3 linked regions of the Nothobranchius furzeri genome follow. The main gene of each other region encodes a partner of the protein of the gene in region 2 in a complex. Links are inferred from orthologs where the notes say so. Each region holds a gene or a part of one and is shown on either strand. Other genes may lie near its edges.

Region 1 (5,180 bases), about 7.2 Mb from region 2:
CCTGACAGATCTATGTCACATTGTCACCTAACATTCATGGACTCACCCATCTTGACTCACGACGAGGAAGGCTGTTTTTTGTTAACTTCTAGGAATTAGCAGAGGACATCTCGACTAGTAGAAGCTAACGGTTAGCATTTGCAACTCCACCACATGGTAGAAGCTCTTCCAGGCTTGTGTTACTTGTAGAGATAAAACGTTGCAAGTTAGTGGTGGAGTCGTGTAGCTGTTATCCAATCCAAGGCAAGACGTTCAAACATCAGGAAGTAAGACTCCAAATCTGCTGTCTGAAGCTCAGCTGTGATGTGGGTAACTTTTAAGTCCTAGAAATGGTGCACCGGTTTATTTCTCGATGTTTCACCTCCCCAACAACCCTTACAGAAATTGTGACATTATTTAGAGATTGCTGATCAGTCTCTAAGTTGTTTTTTATGGAAGCAGAGTATTCCATGTTTCCACTGGAAATGTTTGGATTTAAGTCAATCAAATAAAACCTTCATGATAACTAGCGATGGGTACCGAATTAAGTACTTTTTAAGGTACCGACCGAATTCCATAGTACCGACTGAGCACCGATTCACGTCATTTGAAACGGTGCCTCGTTTCGGTACCCGTCCTTCATAACGAGAACTTGCCTAGACAGCTGCGCATGCGCAAGAGCGTTATGTCGTTGGTCACTGCGAGCCAGTTGTAAACAGAGCAGCATGGTAGAAAGAACGCACGCTAAAGCTTGGGTCCACTTCACTAAATGTGATGGGTAACTGGATGATGATGAAACCAGCGACAACGATCTAAGTGAGACATCCTCATCTTAATCTGCTCCGGTAGGTAAATAAAATGTTTAAGATAATGTTAGCTTGATTTGTTAGCTTCCGTTCCGTTACTGGTGTGTTCGCTTTCTCCTCGGAACTCCAAATTTCCGACTATAGAAGAACATGAACGCGCTCTAAAGTTTGGCTTCACTTTACTAAATGCGACGGGTGATTGGGTGAAGACGAAACCAGTGACAACGATTTAAGTGTGAGGCATCATCGTTTAAATCTGCTCCAGCAGCTAAATAAACCGTTTAAGATAATGTTAGCTTGATATGTTAGCTTCCATTGCCACCATTGTTATCAGCTAATGGTGCGTTCGCTTTCTCCTCGGAAATTCTAACTTCCCAGTAGGAAAAATCAAAAGAAAACGGATGGCAAAAGGAATGAAGATACACAGTAAATTTAGTTCACAGTAAAGATGTTTGCTTCAGTTCAATTATCAGCTTATAAAACTACAAGGATGATGTTAAAATACAAACAGTTGCATGTTATTTATTGTGATATTTATCAAATATGGTTATATATCGAGAAAAATATATATTTAATTATAAAAGAGAATTAAAATATTAAACACTCAAAAGTAACTAAAATTAGTACCGTTAAGTACCGGTATCGATTCCTAGGTATTAGTACAGAATCGATTCAAATGTCAAAGGTACCCATCCCTAATGATAACCACATGGGTTTCTCAGCTCATGGCTCTTACTTGCTGCTGTTGTAGAGGGCAGCTAGCTGGTGAACAATGTTGACCACCACCTCATAACATCTTGAAACAAAGCAGGACAACTCCTACGTGAGGAAGACAAAAATAATGACTGAAACAACAGCACTGATAATGAATAAAACTCCTATGGAGGGTATTGCTAACCACCCACCTGAAGGAATGAAATGAATCTGCCCATTTGAATCTGCGACCCCCCTTCAACAACACTGGTTTCACACACTGCAACATAAAAACAGACCAAACTGCTCATTTTCATTATTAAAACAGAAGTGCTGTGTATCACTTAGGTCACAAATAATTGCAGATATTCTACCTCCTTCTCCATAGTACAATAGGCCGTTGTAGAACTTGGTTTCTGCCTGAAAAAAAGGAAATGATTTGAATGAAAATCTAACAGAAACAGACGTCATAAACTGATCTGAGCTCACCATTTGACCATTCTCACCTCATATTTGAGTTGTTTCACTTCACTACAGAGAGCTGCATAGACTGTGATAACTTTGTTCAGAACCTGAACAAAACAGGGATTTCCAAATGAAGAAAAAAAAAGTTGCTCTGAGTTCAAAAACATGGCAAATTTGTGTCTGCTTACCTTGTTGTCTGTTTTAATTAACTCCAGTAAAGATGACTGCTCATGAGGCAGAAGCTGAAACAGAGCAGATGGTAAGATACAGTAACAGAAGTCTTTTCAGGCTAATTTTCTGTTGTTTTTGCTGCTTTACTTTCAACGCGATGGGGTCCAAAGTGAAGTCCCACACGTCTCCTATGGAGTCATCAAGAGCTTCTTCGATGCCCTTCAGCTGGGACGTGTACTCCTCCAGAAACCTGCTGTAGTTCTTCATCTGAACCTCTGTGTGTATTTCTGACAGGTGGATTACAAAACATAAATGACTGAGAAAAATAGTTTTCAAATGAAAGTTATTACATTTGAGAACACACATTTTGAATTTAATTAGTTCTGCTCTCAAATTTTAGAAAATATTTTTTTTTACTAAACTATGTCACCTATACCTCTTTGTATAGAACATTGCTTTATTCAGTTGCCTCAAAATGAACCAAATACAGCTACAGAATTATTAATGTTTTGGTAATTAAGCAAACATATGGCAATACGTGACTATTAGAAGTTGCATAATAACGTGATGTTAATGATTTACTTTTAGTTTTTTAAGACAGACAGGCTTTTGAAGGTCTTGTAATATTTTTTGATTAAATATTTGCACGTTGAAGGCAGAAATGAACACATTAGAAGTACAACTGTTTTACAGCAGTGTTACAATTAAGTAAACAAGATACATTTGTTGAGAAGGGAATTATTATTAATGAGACACATTAGACATTACAGGAACAAATAAGCCCTTTTGATGATAGTAAGAGTTATATTATTATTATTAATATTATTATTAGTGTTGCTGTTACAAAAGGAACCAGCTGTCAAAGATGCAAGCTAAACCTTAGCTATCCTAGCTAGCTTTGACGTCCACTAACTACGTCTTGTTTTCACTTATTTCCAGCATGTTTATTTACACCAAACACTAAATTTTTCCAAGAAAAATGTCTACAAAATAGTTTGGAATGAAAAACATTGTATTTTCTTCTGGAAAGTACAAGAAATAAAGCAGCAAAGCATTTTGCTAACAACGTCGGCTGACACTATGTGCAAACTGCAGCTAACTTTTCTCCGTTGCTGTATTTCTGTGAATGCCAGGACTGCAGGGAGCACTTACTTTGGGAACCGTCGTCAAAACGGTCAACCTCCCAGTCGGGTGCGATAGTGTCCACAGCCATATCACCAGAATAAATCCCAAAGAGACGCTAGAAAGTAAGACTACACTCTCATGATGGGTCTTGTGATTTTCACCGCTAGAGCTCATGGGAAATGTAGTCTTCCGGTGCGGCGTCAATAACCAACTAGGAACATACTGAGAAAGTAAATAGTGCTTTATTTTTAGTTATATATATATATATATTAAGCACTATTATGTAACAAATATGTTACATAAACACACACACACACACACACACACACACACACACACACACACACACGTACCGCATATATATACATATATATATATATATATATATATATATATATATATATATATATATATATATATATATATATATATATATATATATATATATATATATATATATATATAATTTACAATAAAATAATAAGAAACTTTTTAGAGGAAAAGGATCAAAAATATATAATTTAAGCAGTGATTCTCAACAAATAATTGTTAAAAAGAAAATGGGGAATTGAGGGTCACAGAAACAGTTTTCCTTACCTCAAATGTCAGGTCAAAAACAATGTGCTCAAAGCTGAAGACCTTTCAAGTGGCATATAAAATATTTTGCATCCATGTAGAATGATTAAAATAAAAATATTGAATGAAAAGTGAAGTCTCTACACAAACACAGTCACACACCCTCATGCTCACACATACACATACAACCTAGGACTCACAAAAATGCAAACAATTCAAAAAAGATGCAGTTCAATTGTTTGGCAGAGCAAATTTTAACCCATATTACAAGAATTTAAACAAACAAAAAAAGAAATATTATATATATATATATATATATATATATATATATATATATATATATATATATATATATATATATATATATATATACTGCTCACAAAATTTAAAGGAACACTTTAAAGAAACACACTAGATACATCAGATCTCATTATGAAGTTGGATGTCTATACAAATAACGACAGGGCAATGTCTTAGGAACAAAAGGATGCCAAGTCATTTAATGGAAATAAAAGTTATCAGCCTACAGAGGGCTCAATTGTGAAGACACCCTAAAATTGGACTGAAATGAAGATGTGGCAGGCTAGTCCATTATTTCAAAAACTTAATTTCTGCAACTCAAATTGCTTTTCAGTATCTTGTGTGGCCCTCACGAGCTTGTGTGCATGCTTGACTACGTCGGGGCATGCTCCTAATGAGACAACGGATGGTGTCTTGTGGCATTTCCTCCCAGATCTGTGTGAGGGCATCCCTGAGCTCTTGTACAGTCTGAGGAGCAACCTGGCACCGCCTAATGGACCGAAACATAATGTCCCACAGTTGTTCTATTGGGTTTAAGTCAGGGGATCATGAAGGCCATTCAATTGTTTCAATTCCTTCATCCTCCGGGTACTGCCTGCATACTCTTACCACATGAGGCCGGGCATTGTCGTGCATTAGGAGAAAACCAGGACCTACTGCATCAGCGTAGGGTCTGACAAAGGGTTCAAGGATTTCATCTCGATACCTTATGGCAGTCAGAGCACCATTTCCTAGGCAGCAGAGGTCTGTGCGTCCCTCCATGGATATGTGATGGGTAAAAACTGATATTAACTTTATTAATGTCTTGACTGTTTAACATCTGGTGTTTATTAAATGTAGCTTCATCCGTTTATTTTACTCTGTGATGGAGAACAGGCCCCTGCAGGTCTTACAAGGAGGAGGTTTTGGGAGGATGACCTTGCCTTGGTACCGACCTCTTGTCAGTAAAACTCCCTTGAGAAAGTCCAGACTGCTTTGTTGATTTAGATTGCAGCTGGAGTGTTAGAGTTGAGACTTTCTTTTACAGCTTCCTGCCTGAGAGTCTCAAAATGTGTGTGCGTCAAT
Region 2 (4,916 bases):
GAGACTGATCTTAACACAGTTGGTTTCCACAGAAACGATATGCTGACTCACAGATTCTCGGTAGTATTGAAGAGCAGCAGAGAGCTAACAGATGAGATGTTCCGAGGCAGACTGCCCAATCCCTCTTCTGTCTCATCTTCAGACTTCTTCTTATTCCTCACACACACTGGGAAATACGTTAGCTTCTCCTGGAAGGAGACGATGAAGACATAGCGTGTGTTTATGGGTGATCTGTAAAACGTCGTCTCAACGCCACTTAAGCGTTTCTAACTCGGACAATCATACCAATGAGGACACTTCGAATTCTGGAGGTTCTTGAATAATACATTTCTGCACCAAAGCAAACTGTCTTGTGTTTTCTTTCAGTCTGACAAATACACACATATGCTAACAAAAACTACACAGCAGCAAACATGCTCGCTTTTCTTGCCGAGATGGTGCAATAAAAAATAAACTGCGGGCTTAGCTTTAAATAATGCAAAAGCTTGAGCTGGGGCATGTACACACACACACACACACATTCACATGTTTACAGCCAATTTCCCTGCTAAGTGACACACAGCTGCTGATATCCTTCCTGCATGTTCAATGGGTGACAAATTCACTGCTTGGCACGATGCTTGAACAAATTTGCAAATCTAACCCTAACCCAATCACTGGATCCGATTTGAATGAAGAAAGGACTCATGAGCTCCGACTTTTAACACAGTACACCGACTGTGCAAGTTGTCCCACTTAAAAAGACGAGATGAGTCTAATTTTCATCATAGCTACTCAAACTGTGAGAAACAGAAGCTAAAAAAACTCCAGGAAATCACAATGTCTGATTTTTAAAGAATTTCAGTATCAATATGAATTTCTTTTTTCTATCTAATTTTATGGGACCCCCACCTTCGTAAAAATCTACTTTGGCCATTTTACAGTTTCTCCTCGTTCTCCGGAACAACAGTTTAAAATAACTCTAAACAGTTTAAGCTAGTCCATCAAAAGTGGGTTTAAGTGACTGTGTGAGTAATAAACTTCACCATCTTCACCCTGAACACCACTCTGCAGCCCACTGCTGACCAGAAACAGCACTTAACAGTTTGGTGGAGTAGGTAGGTGCCCTATAAGGGGAGCTCTTTACCTGCTTCACAGCTGTCAGCTGTTATGCTAGCAGTTAGCATTTTCAGTTTGCAGATTGTCAATAAAAAAACACAAGAAAAAGTAAAAAAAGACGTTTACTTTTTTGTGTAGAACATTGGCACGACCTACAATAGAGAGAGCTAAAGGAGGTTACATAATTGCAAACTGATGGTGACCTAGCTTTGTTACTTGACTTGTAATAATACTTTTTGTTCAACAAATAGGATCTTTTTACTTGGTGGTTTATTTTAGTATTAGCTTGCTCTTGTTAATGCTAGCTCGTTGTTAGCGCTAGCTACAATTGGCTGCAGCAGGGTTGTTTACAAAAGTTGTAATCCCACTTGCAACCAGTAGGGCAGGGGGTCAGGAAGCTGGTCAGTGTTACTTTAATAAGAAAAAAAAAAAAGGAAAATCAAATGTCAACATAAACTCAATGGCCACTTCATTAATTACACATTTTAATACAAATATCTAATTGGCCATAAACATCAATTCACATGTTAGCAACTCAAACCATTTACATATCTAGAGAACACTTTATCCCACCTGCCATGCCTTCTCATCAAACGGACGAAGTTTATTCTGTATCTTGTGATGGGGACGGTTTTGTGAGGAAGGGTCCACTGCCCCAGAGAAGATAGATGAGTAGTCCTGAAGATGGTCTGGGGCTGGGTACTTGGCACTGGAGAAAACCTAAACAAATGCGTCAAATTAGGATTGTTTCATCTTGGATTTTAAAATTTTTAAACGGTAATTGCTGTTACCTTGGTGGCCTTCTTGCTGCCTTTAATCTTGTCAACACGGGCCTGAGCTAGTCTGATACGGTCAGAAACGCTCTGCAGCTGGCGTCGGTTTTTCTCTACGCTTTCGGAAACCCTGAAGGCACCACCAACAGGAATAGAACACAAACAAAACTATAAATAAAAGCTGAATACGTCTCAAACTGTGTATTTAACTCGTTCATAAAGATTGCATTGATTATGTTTTACCAACTACATTTTTTTTTACATAGGAACAAAAATCACTCCCACTGGAAGCGGAATTTTCAACCTGAAGCAAGACTTTATAAAGACAAACCCAAATATTTTCTTCCAATTACTCTCTTTTGGAGCTCTGTAGCTTTATAGATATGTTTTCAGAAAAATCTGAACGTATGTGTGCGCACACATGCTTGCCTTCTGAAAATGTCAGTGGAGATCAACTCAAGATACAGCAATGCGTCTGCTATCTGATGAACAGCCTCCTCTCGCCTCAGATCTGGTTGAATGAGGGGCACCGAGTACACCTGGCCCTCCAGGCAGTGCCTCTGTGTCATCCTACAAAGCAGCGGTGCAACAGCAAGGTTAGTAATCGATTAGACATCCAGCTGCGTGCAAAACACATGGAACTACCTCTTATGGGAGAAACATATGAGGTGAAAAGCACTAATCAACTCGTCTTGCAGTGAATCAAACATCACAGACACAGTAAATCTGTGCCAGAGTTTCATGATTTGTCAAAATAACTTACAAAACCCCAAATAAATAGCAGAAATTGTTGGTTTATGCTTTCAGATCGAGCAGACGAAAATAATACTGAATCACTCAATTAAAAGCAGTAATTTTGGAGATTTTAAACACGCTTTTGGGAAAGCCAGGAGATAAAAAGTCATTTAAAAATGGAAATGGTTAGAAAACTTAATTAAGCCATTTTGACACAAAGAGAAGCACAATACCAAGTTTGTGTAAGAAAGTCATCACGGGAACTGGAACAGTTCATCTAGCAACAACCCATCATCTGACTCACATGACGAAGACTCACAAAGAACTAATACTTTTACTTTTTTCTTATTTCCCGGGCTTAATCATCTCAAGTTAGCAAAATGGACCACAGCTAATACATATGTGAGCCAGCTGCTGCTTGGAAATATACTCCAAAAAACAAACAAACAAAAAACAACTAATGAAACAGTGAGATATTGGTTACCGAAGGTGTCACCCGATAACGACGTTGCACTGACAATAATATCCTTACCTCACCATTGGATTTTGATTTCTTCCTAAAGACACTTTGAGAAAAACCTCGAAGAAAATATAGAGTTTAAAGGAGTTTAGTTGTCTGTTATAGCTTACAGATCGACTACAAGATAGCCTAGCAAAACATCGGTTTCATACTTCCGCATCACTGTATCATGTGACCATGTAGAAAACGATGGTGTTGCCTTCATGGTAGCTCGGATAGTTTAAAATTCAAACCTAATGTGCTTATTATTAACCCTCTAAGGCTCAAAATAAGTTTTGATAAAAGGATGAACAACTACGTCCTTTAGGGGTACTTCTGAGTTAAAAAATGTTCATGAAATACATATGTGGAGTAACCAGGTAGGTAGGTTTTAACTGTTGCAAATCTGCACCGCCTGCCTCCAGAGAATCACAGTCGATTATTGTAGTACGGTGGTTTCTGTGGTGTGGCAGAGGTCATAATACCTAGAAGACTGGACTTGTGAATGTAAATGCATCGTAAATCCCAACTGCGCTGCTCTGGGTGGCTGTATGTTGGAGTAGCTCTGTTGACTATATGTAAGTTTTGCCTTTTCTTGGGCATTTTTTTTCTAGTTTCTCAAGAAAAACTGTATTTTTGGACACTTTACTCTTCTGTTTCTGGTGCTGTGAAGCTTGGAGGATTTTTACTGCTTTTTTTTAGCTTTTTCACTTTTTGAGCATTTGTTATGATGCGTAACCATGGCAACAAGCTGTTTACAATGGGGAGCAGCTGATTAACATTGGAAAGGCTGAAATAATACCTCAACTGAAGCCACAAATCCCAAATGAGCTAAAACGCAAGAAGCGTTGATGCAGAACGGGAGCAAAATGGAGACAGAGAAAGAGGAAATTCAAACCATCTCTTCCATCGATCATAATGGGCAATGTGAGATCACTGGCCGACAAGATAGAGGAACTCCAAGCCCTTTCAAGGACTCAGCCAGAGTTTCTGCAGTTTCGAACCGCTGGAGGAGATAATGCAAAGATGGATTCTCCAGAGAATCAAGAAAATTATGGACAACCCTGAGCATTCTCTTCACAAGACTGTCAGACAACAGAAGAGTGCCTTCAGTCAGAGGCTTCTTCAGTTTCGCTGCAACACTGACCGCTACTGGAGATCCTTCCTGCCAACAGCCATTGTAATATACAATAACTCTTTGATGACTTGATTATTATTATTATTATTCTGAGATACTACAGCAATCAATTTCCCTCTGGGATTAATAAAGTATTTTTGAATTGAATTGAATTTAAATGAAATGTTGAAATAAAAGACAAAAGTGGTTAATAGTAAATAGAGAAAAATGTAGTTAACTAAGCTCTAGTTTTGACGCAGAATAAATATTTAATAAAGTGTGCCTGATTCAGAAGAAAGTGGATGCAATGTGTTTGATTTTGAAACAATTTCGAAATCGGAAGTGACGTACTGTTGACTTAATGTTGAGTAGGAAAGAAAAATATGGTTCATGGCTTAAAGACAATTCACGAGTGTTTTATAAAATAAAGAAAAACGCTGTTGTTTGCAACCTGTTTTCCTCGAGGACCTGTCCACTATTTCGCCTGTAGAAAGTGAGACAGAGAATGGAAGTTGTCCCAGTTGCCGGTCGTTGGTTCCATCCCTATAGGTCCAAGACAAGTCAGGACCCCCCTAACTCCAACCCTTATCCGCATATACTCATTAAAGTTGATTAATTCTAAACTTTATAGTAACACCAGAATTTTGATTATACTATAGGGTGTGTTACTGAGACTTTATCAATTTAGTATTTA
Region 3 (5,250 bases), on a different chromosome or scaffold from region 2:
CACAAATGAGTTTCTACGCTAATGGTGACATATGACAGACTTCTCTGAGCTCCGCAGCCATTACACTTTTCACCTCGCGCACCCCCTAGCGGCAGCTCGCACACCCCCAGGGGTGCGCGCACCACACTTTGGGAATCCCTGCCATATTCTATTACACGATACTTTAATCACTTTTGTGAATCGCCTGCACCGACGGCTTAATTACTTATTCACAAGGATGCAGTCATGTATTTAATTATTGAGATATGCGATTGTTTGTTTTGCACTATCCTACATGGTACTACTGTAGATCATTTTTTTAATGTATATATTGTATATCATATTTCTATTTCACCCGTTCCTTTGTCTCTCCGACTGCTTTGAGCATGTACATGACACAAGAATTTCCCTCGGGATAAATAAAGTTGTTCTTATCTTATCTTATCTTCTATGATCAGGTGTCTCACAGCTAAAAATACTTCCAAAATGGACGTGGACAGTGGATCGCTGAATAACGTGCAGCGTCATTGTGCAAACATGACATACATCTCATCACAAATGGCGCAAGCCTGTCTTGTTTGCACAGTAACGATGGGAATTAATCAGCGAGACCCAATCTATACTTCAGTTTAAGTCTGACCACTTTGGTGTAAAGAGGAGTTCATGTTTGACTCAGTCACTGCAGAAATAAGCCCAAATCATCAGCCCCCTGCCACCGTGCTTTACAGAGGACAGGAGGTGTTTGAGCTGACCTGGTGCACTGTTTTAACCAAAAGTGATGGCTTGTTTACTGACCTCGGCCTGAACTCTGTGCTGCAGACTCAGGAAATCTGCCCTGAAGGTTTTCCACCTTTCTCACTGTAAATATGTAACGTCACACTTCTGGATAGGATTTTACAATCCTGTCAGAGTGTGAGGAGGACAATCAAAATCCAATCCGATCACTATGCAAACAAAGCAGCCAGTAACAAACATACTTCTTTGAAGGTTCTCAAAACTAAAAGTCTATCCTTTACAACAGGAGGGGAATGTTGAGCCTTTTTTGTACGTAAACTCCAAAAGAAAACAAAACAACAGTTGCGTTGACGGCAGGTTTCTACTTGTTGCATCGACCAAAGAGCTGATGACAATCTACATTCCGACTTAAAAAGAAAAGTTCAACTGCCGATTTTTGGCATCACAGACTCCCAAACAAGAAAAAAGACACAAAGACTGTTTTGGCATTCATCGTGGCCGATTGAACCTGCATGTCTGTTGCAGGTGGGTCTGAACTCCTACCTCTGAGGAAGAAGGTGGTCCTGCTGCTACACCGTTAGTTAGGTTCTGACCGATAGTACTGGGTCCTTTAGTGTGGGAGGCCTGCTGTTGGTTGAGGCCCTCTACTGTGACGTCCTCCAGTCCAGGAATAGAGGACAGCTGCTCAGAACAATGTCACTGCATAAGTGAAAAGACAACATCCAGAAACGGTATCAAGGTCTCACAAGTTACCTTAGCCTCTAAAATGCTGAGTGTGGTTTCAATCTGCTGTATGCGAAGAGAAATGTTTGCAAGTTTCTGTGAAGAGAAGTAAAAAAAATAAATAAATACATAATTTGAGTTCATATTCTGAGGCAGAAGAAGCATTAAGGAGTAAAAAACAAACAAACAAACACAAACCTCTTCACACACGGTGGAAAACTGGTTAAGAAATCGTACGGTGTGCACAACAAACTGGTTGAGAAATCCAACGATTCGTCTCTGCTGTATTGCAGGAACCTGAGAAAAGATAAAAGCAGTATAATTAAAAACTTACCAAGTGTTACTATAGTTTATTTTACTAAACATAAACCTCTAGTATAATTGATTTTTGAATGTTATGGCTTTAAATAATATTGAGGGGATTCTAAAATGACTTTTAACTACTGCTGTTAAAATGTTTTTTGTAAATCTTTATTGAAACAAAGCAGTACAAAACAACAATTAACACCAGGGAGAATAAACAACATCTACATAAACAGACCAGGGTCATGTGTTAGCAGTGTTATTTAAACAACACAATAACATACAGTAACCTGTGGATTATTGCAAAGTTTCAAGTATTTGAGAGAATTTTAAAAGCAGCTGAGTTCTACCTTTAAAGTCTTGCATCAAACAAAATGCTAATGGCAAAAAGAATGATGAAAACTATCAAATCTGATTTTCTGTGTTGGGTAGTTACTAATTATATTTACTTGAGTATTTTTAGGAAAAAGAAATGCAACATTTTAATTAAGTCTTTACATTATATAATTTATCATATAACATTATACTATTATCTGTTTGAATGGATTTTATAAATTAAAGGAGCTGTTATGATTACTCATTATTTGAGCAGCTTTTTTGCAAACACAGTTTTTGTACTTTTTTTTAACTACTCAAGTAAACATATATGAAAGTAATGCTACTCTTATTTGAGTATAATCTCTGGCTACTCTACCCACATGTCTGACTTTGCATATAATGGATGCAAATCGGTGTGGAGGAAAAACATTTGGAATAACAGACTACTGTATATCAGGTGTTGTGCCGAAAAGAGCACGCCTACCGAAATGTGTATCCCCGTCGAAAGACGCAAATTGAAGAAGAATTTGAATTATGAGCAATTCAGAATTTGAACACGTTTCTAATCCGTGTTTCTCCTGAAAAGATTTTGTTTTTGACTACAAATATGATGAAATAATGATTAAATAATTGACCTTTTTCAACACGTTTGACACTAATGTTTTAGCAAGTATTAAACAATTTTGTTGGTTTAAAAAAGCAGACTCAAAATGACTAACCTTTTATATGTGCATTATATTACTTAAAATAAAACATGTTATAAACAGTAGTTTATTTTACTTATTTGCTCATAAACCATCATTTTGTAAGGAAGGATGCAGCTCATGTTGTACACATTTATTAAAAAGCGGTCTCATACGCGCCTTCCCGCAGGGGATGCACATTTTCGCAGACAAGCTCTTTTCGGCACAACACCGGTAATAGAATCTAATGAATGATGTATTCAAATAGAACATCAGTGTTCGGAGAGAAAACGTTCTTTCCTCTTTTGATACTTCTTTAGAACAAACCAAAAGGAAAATGACTAGGCAAACAGTTACAAGTAGGTGAAATTAGTTAGAAAAAGGCCACAGTTTTCTCTGCATTAGTGATTATATATTTTGTTAAAAAGCACAAACATAGCTTTGGGTTCTCAGGTTTTCAGTGTTAGCTAACCAGTTAGAAACACAAACCTTCGTAAGATCGACTCCTGACCCGACTAACGGCAGGCCGTCCTCGTCCATGTTAGCGTTTTACACTTCCTGTGAATAGGAATGTGGTTTCAGGTCTAATGGCACGAAATTTGAAAGAAAAAATGACATGAAACAAAACATTTACACCGTTGAAGGCTTCACGTGACACTGAGCAGTGTGACTGGCTACGTGATTACGTCACTCTAGGAAAAGGAAATGATTAACTTTTATTTTGAAGAGGCATCAATGCACTCGAATTCACACTTTTATATTTCGAGCTGTCGAAATTTTCTAAACTTTTTCTTTATCTAGTCATTGGCTTTGAAGTAAAAAAGAACTTGAAAATAATAGCATTCTGAAATTCATTAGAAAACACCAAAACACGTCTTTCAGACATATATTTTGAAAAGCGGAAACTTGAGTGAATACTTGAGGAAGCGATGCTTGCGCTCTAATAGCGCATTAGCCACCAAAACAAACAGCACAAATATACACAGATTCCTCAAATTCACTTGGTGGGATGCTTTAATGGAAGTTGTGGAATCAAAAGAAAAAATGGAGGGTATGTATGTTACCAGTTTGCCTTTCTGATATTTTCTGGAGACGTGTTTGTTTTACTATCAGTGGGCTCTGTCTATTTAAAGGAACCACAATGTTCATTATTTGGCAGACTGTTGTTGTTGCGCAGTGGAAGTTAGCTTGCTGTTAAATGTACAGACACTCTTACGCGATATATTGTTTTAACTAAGTTGCGAAGCTTTTGAGTAACATCTGTGGACATTTTCCAGATTGTGTATCTAAAATGTTAAAGATCTGTCCAGGATTTTCTCCAGTTCAAAAGCCTGTAGCTCAAATTCAATTCAAGTTTATTTATACAGCGCCAAATCACGACAAGAGTCGTCTCGAGGCACTTCACATAGTTAACATTCCAATACAGGTCAGTTCATTAAGCCAATCAGGAAAAAAAGTTTCCTATATAAGGAACCCAGCAAACTGCATCCAGTCACTGACTGGTCTCAGTGACTTTAGCAAGCAAGCAAGCAAATGACAGACAACAATGTAACAGATCACGTGATTGTTTTATTGCTTGATTGTTTTTAATTATCTGTATGAAGCCAATAACTGTTTCAGTTATGTGTAAAATGTGAGAACTTTGCAAAATCACATCGTGAAAATTTTATCCACCTGCTGTTTCCTGCAAGTACTCTGAATGCTCTCTGAATTAGGGGGTGTGTTACTGCCCTCCATCGGTCATTTCTGACTTTACACATTAATGTTTCAGACCCAAACTTCCCTTTGCCCTCCTTTCGCCTCCTGGTGCCTCCCTTGCATCTTCTGTCTGCTGCTATGTGGAATCTGATGAAGGGGAAAGATGTGATGAACTATGGGAAGCTGCAGGAGTTTGTGTCCATGCTGACAGAAGCAGTTCCTGGTTTGATCAACCACAGACAGAGAGCGCATCTCCTTCTCGGATTGAAGGCCAGGGTGAATGGTGTTTTGTTTCACATGCAAACGTTCTTGTTTTGGTGTCTCAGTCGTGCATTAACATATTTTGATGATATTTCAGTTGATTTTGGAGTTGTGCAAGGGTTCTGCTCGACACGATGTTGATTCTGATGTGATCCAGACCTACTTGGAGGGATTCCCAGTTACCTCTGCAACCACAGACGTATGTAAACTAATGATACTTGATGCAAATGTCAATGTTTTCTTGAAGAGCGCTCTCTGAGTGATATGATATGATTTTTTTTGCAGACTGTGGACACAGAGGTGAGAACAACCGAGTGCACTTTTATTGCACTTGTTCAGAGCTTGCTCAAAGATCCGGCTGAAAGAGCATATTTTTTTCAGGTGAGGCAACTTTTTAAAACAAACTTATCTGACTGAACTTCAGAGTTTAAAAGACCATTTTCGGTGCTACAGGAGGTGTTTCCTGTTGAATACGGGCCACAATATGATTCAGCACTGCAAGTGTTATTGTGGGAGTTGCTGTCAAAGCTGGAAATGCTGCTCCCAGTAC

The links. Proteins that work in one complex are often made in the same cells at the same time.
Region 1: wash1 (region 2) and washc4 share a complex: the UniProt entries of both Homo sapiens proteins name them as parts of the WASH core complex. The link is inferred for Nothobranchius furzeri from reciprocal best matches to the Homo sapiens genes WASHC1 and WASHC4.
Region 3: wash1 (region 2) and washc3 share a complex: the UniProt entries of both Homo sapiens proteins name them as parts of the WASH core complex. The link is inferred for Nothobranchius furzeri from reciprocal best matches to the Homo sapiens genes WASHC1 and WASHC3.

Annotation. Positions count from the first base shown.
Region 1 is NC_091744.1:77,763,304-77,768,483, forward strand, and holds the start of washc4 (WASH complex subunit 4), read right to left. Parts: upstream 3,417-5,180; 5' UTR 3,328-3,416; coding exon 3,267-3,327; intron 2,402-3,266; coding exon 2,262-2,401; intron 2,186-2,261; coding exon 2,132-2,185; intron 2,051-2,131; coding exon 1,985-2,050; intron 1,899-1,984; coding exon 1,853-1,898; intron 1,759-1,852; coding exon 1,691-1,758; intron 1,605-1,690; coding exon 1,522-1,604; intron 1-1,521. UniProt on the Homo sapiens protein: Acts as a component of the WASH core complex that functions as a nucleation-promoting factor (NPF) at the surface of endosomes, where it recruits and activates the Arp2/3 complex to induce actin polymerization, playing a key role in the fission of tubules that serve as transport intermediates during endosome sorting.
Region 2 is NC_091744.1:70,584,796-70,589,711, reverse strand, and holds the start of wash1 (WASH complex subunit 1), read right to left. Parts: upstream 3,311-4,916; 5' UTR 3,147-3,310; coding exon 3,139-3,146; intron 2,442-3,138; coding exon 2,301-2,441; intron 2,002-2,300; coding exon 1,890-2,001; intron 1,819-1,889; coding exon 1,672-1,818; intron 189-1,671; coding exon 52-188; intron 1-51. UniProt on the Homo sapiens protein: Acts as a component of the WASH core complex that functions as a nucleation-promoting factor (NPF) at the surface of endosomes, where it recruits and activates the Arp2/3 complex to induce actin polymerization, playing a key role in the fission of tubules that serve as transport intermediates during endosome sorting.
Region 3 is NC_091741.1:43,371,723-43,376,972, forward strand, and holds the start of washc3 (WASH complex subunit 3), read right to left. Parts: upstream 3,417-5,250; 5' UTR 3,282-3,416; coding exon 3,231-3,281; intron 1,735-3,230; coding exon 1,636-1,734; intron 1,534-1,635; coding exon 1,468-1,533; intron 1,396-1,467; coding exon 1,258-1,395; intron 1-1,257. Other genes in the region: uncharacterized protein, read left to right, coding at 3,759-3,792, 4,513-4,715, 4,798-4,899, 4,986-5,081, 5,154-5,250. UniProt on the Homo sapiens protein: Acts as a component of the WASH core complex that functions as a nucleation-promoting factor (NPF) at the surface of endosomes, where it recruits and activates the Arp2/3 complex to induce actin polymerization, playing a key role in the fission of tubules that serve as transport intermediates during endosome sorting.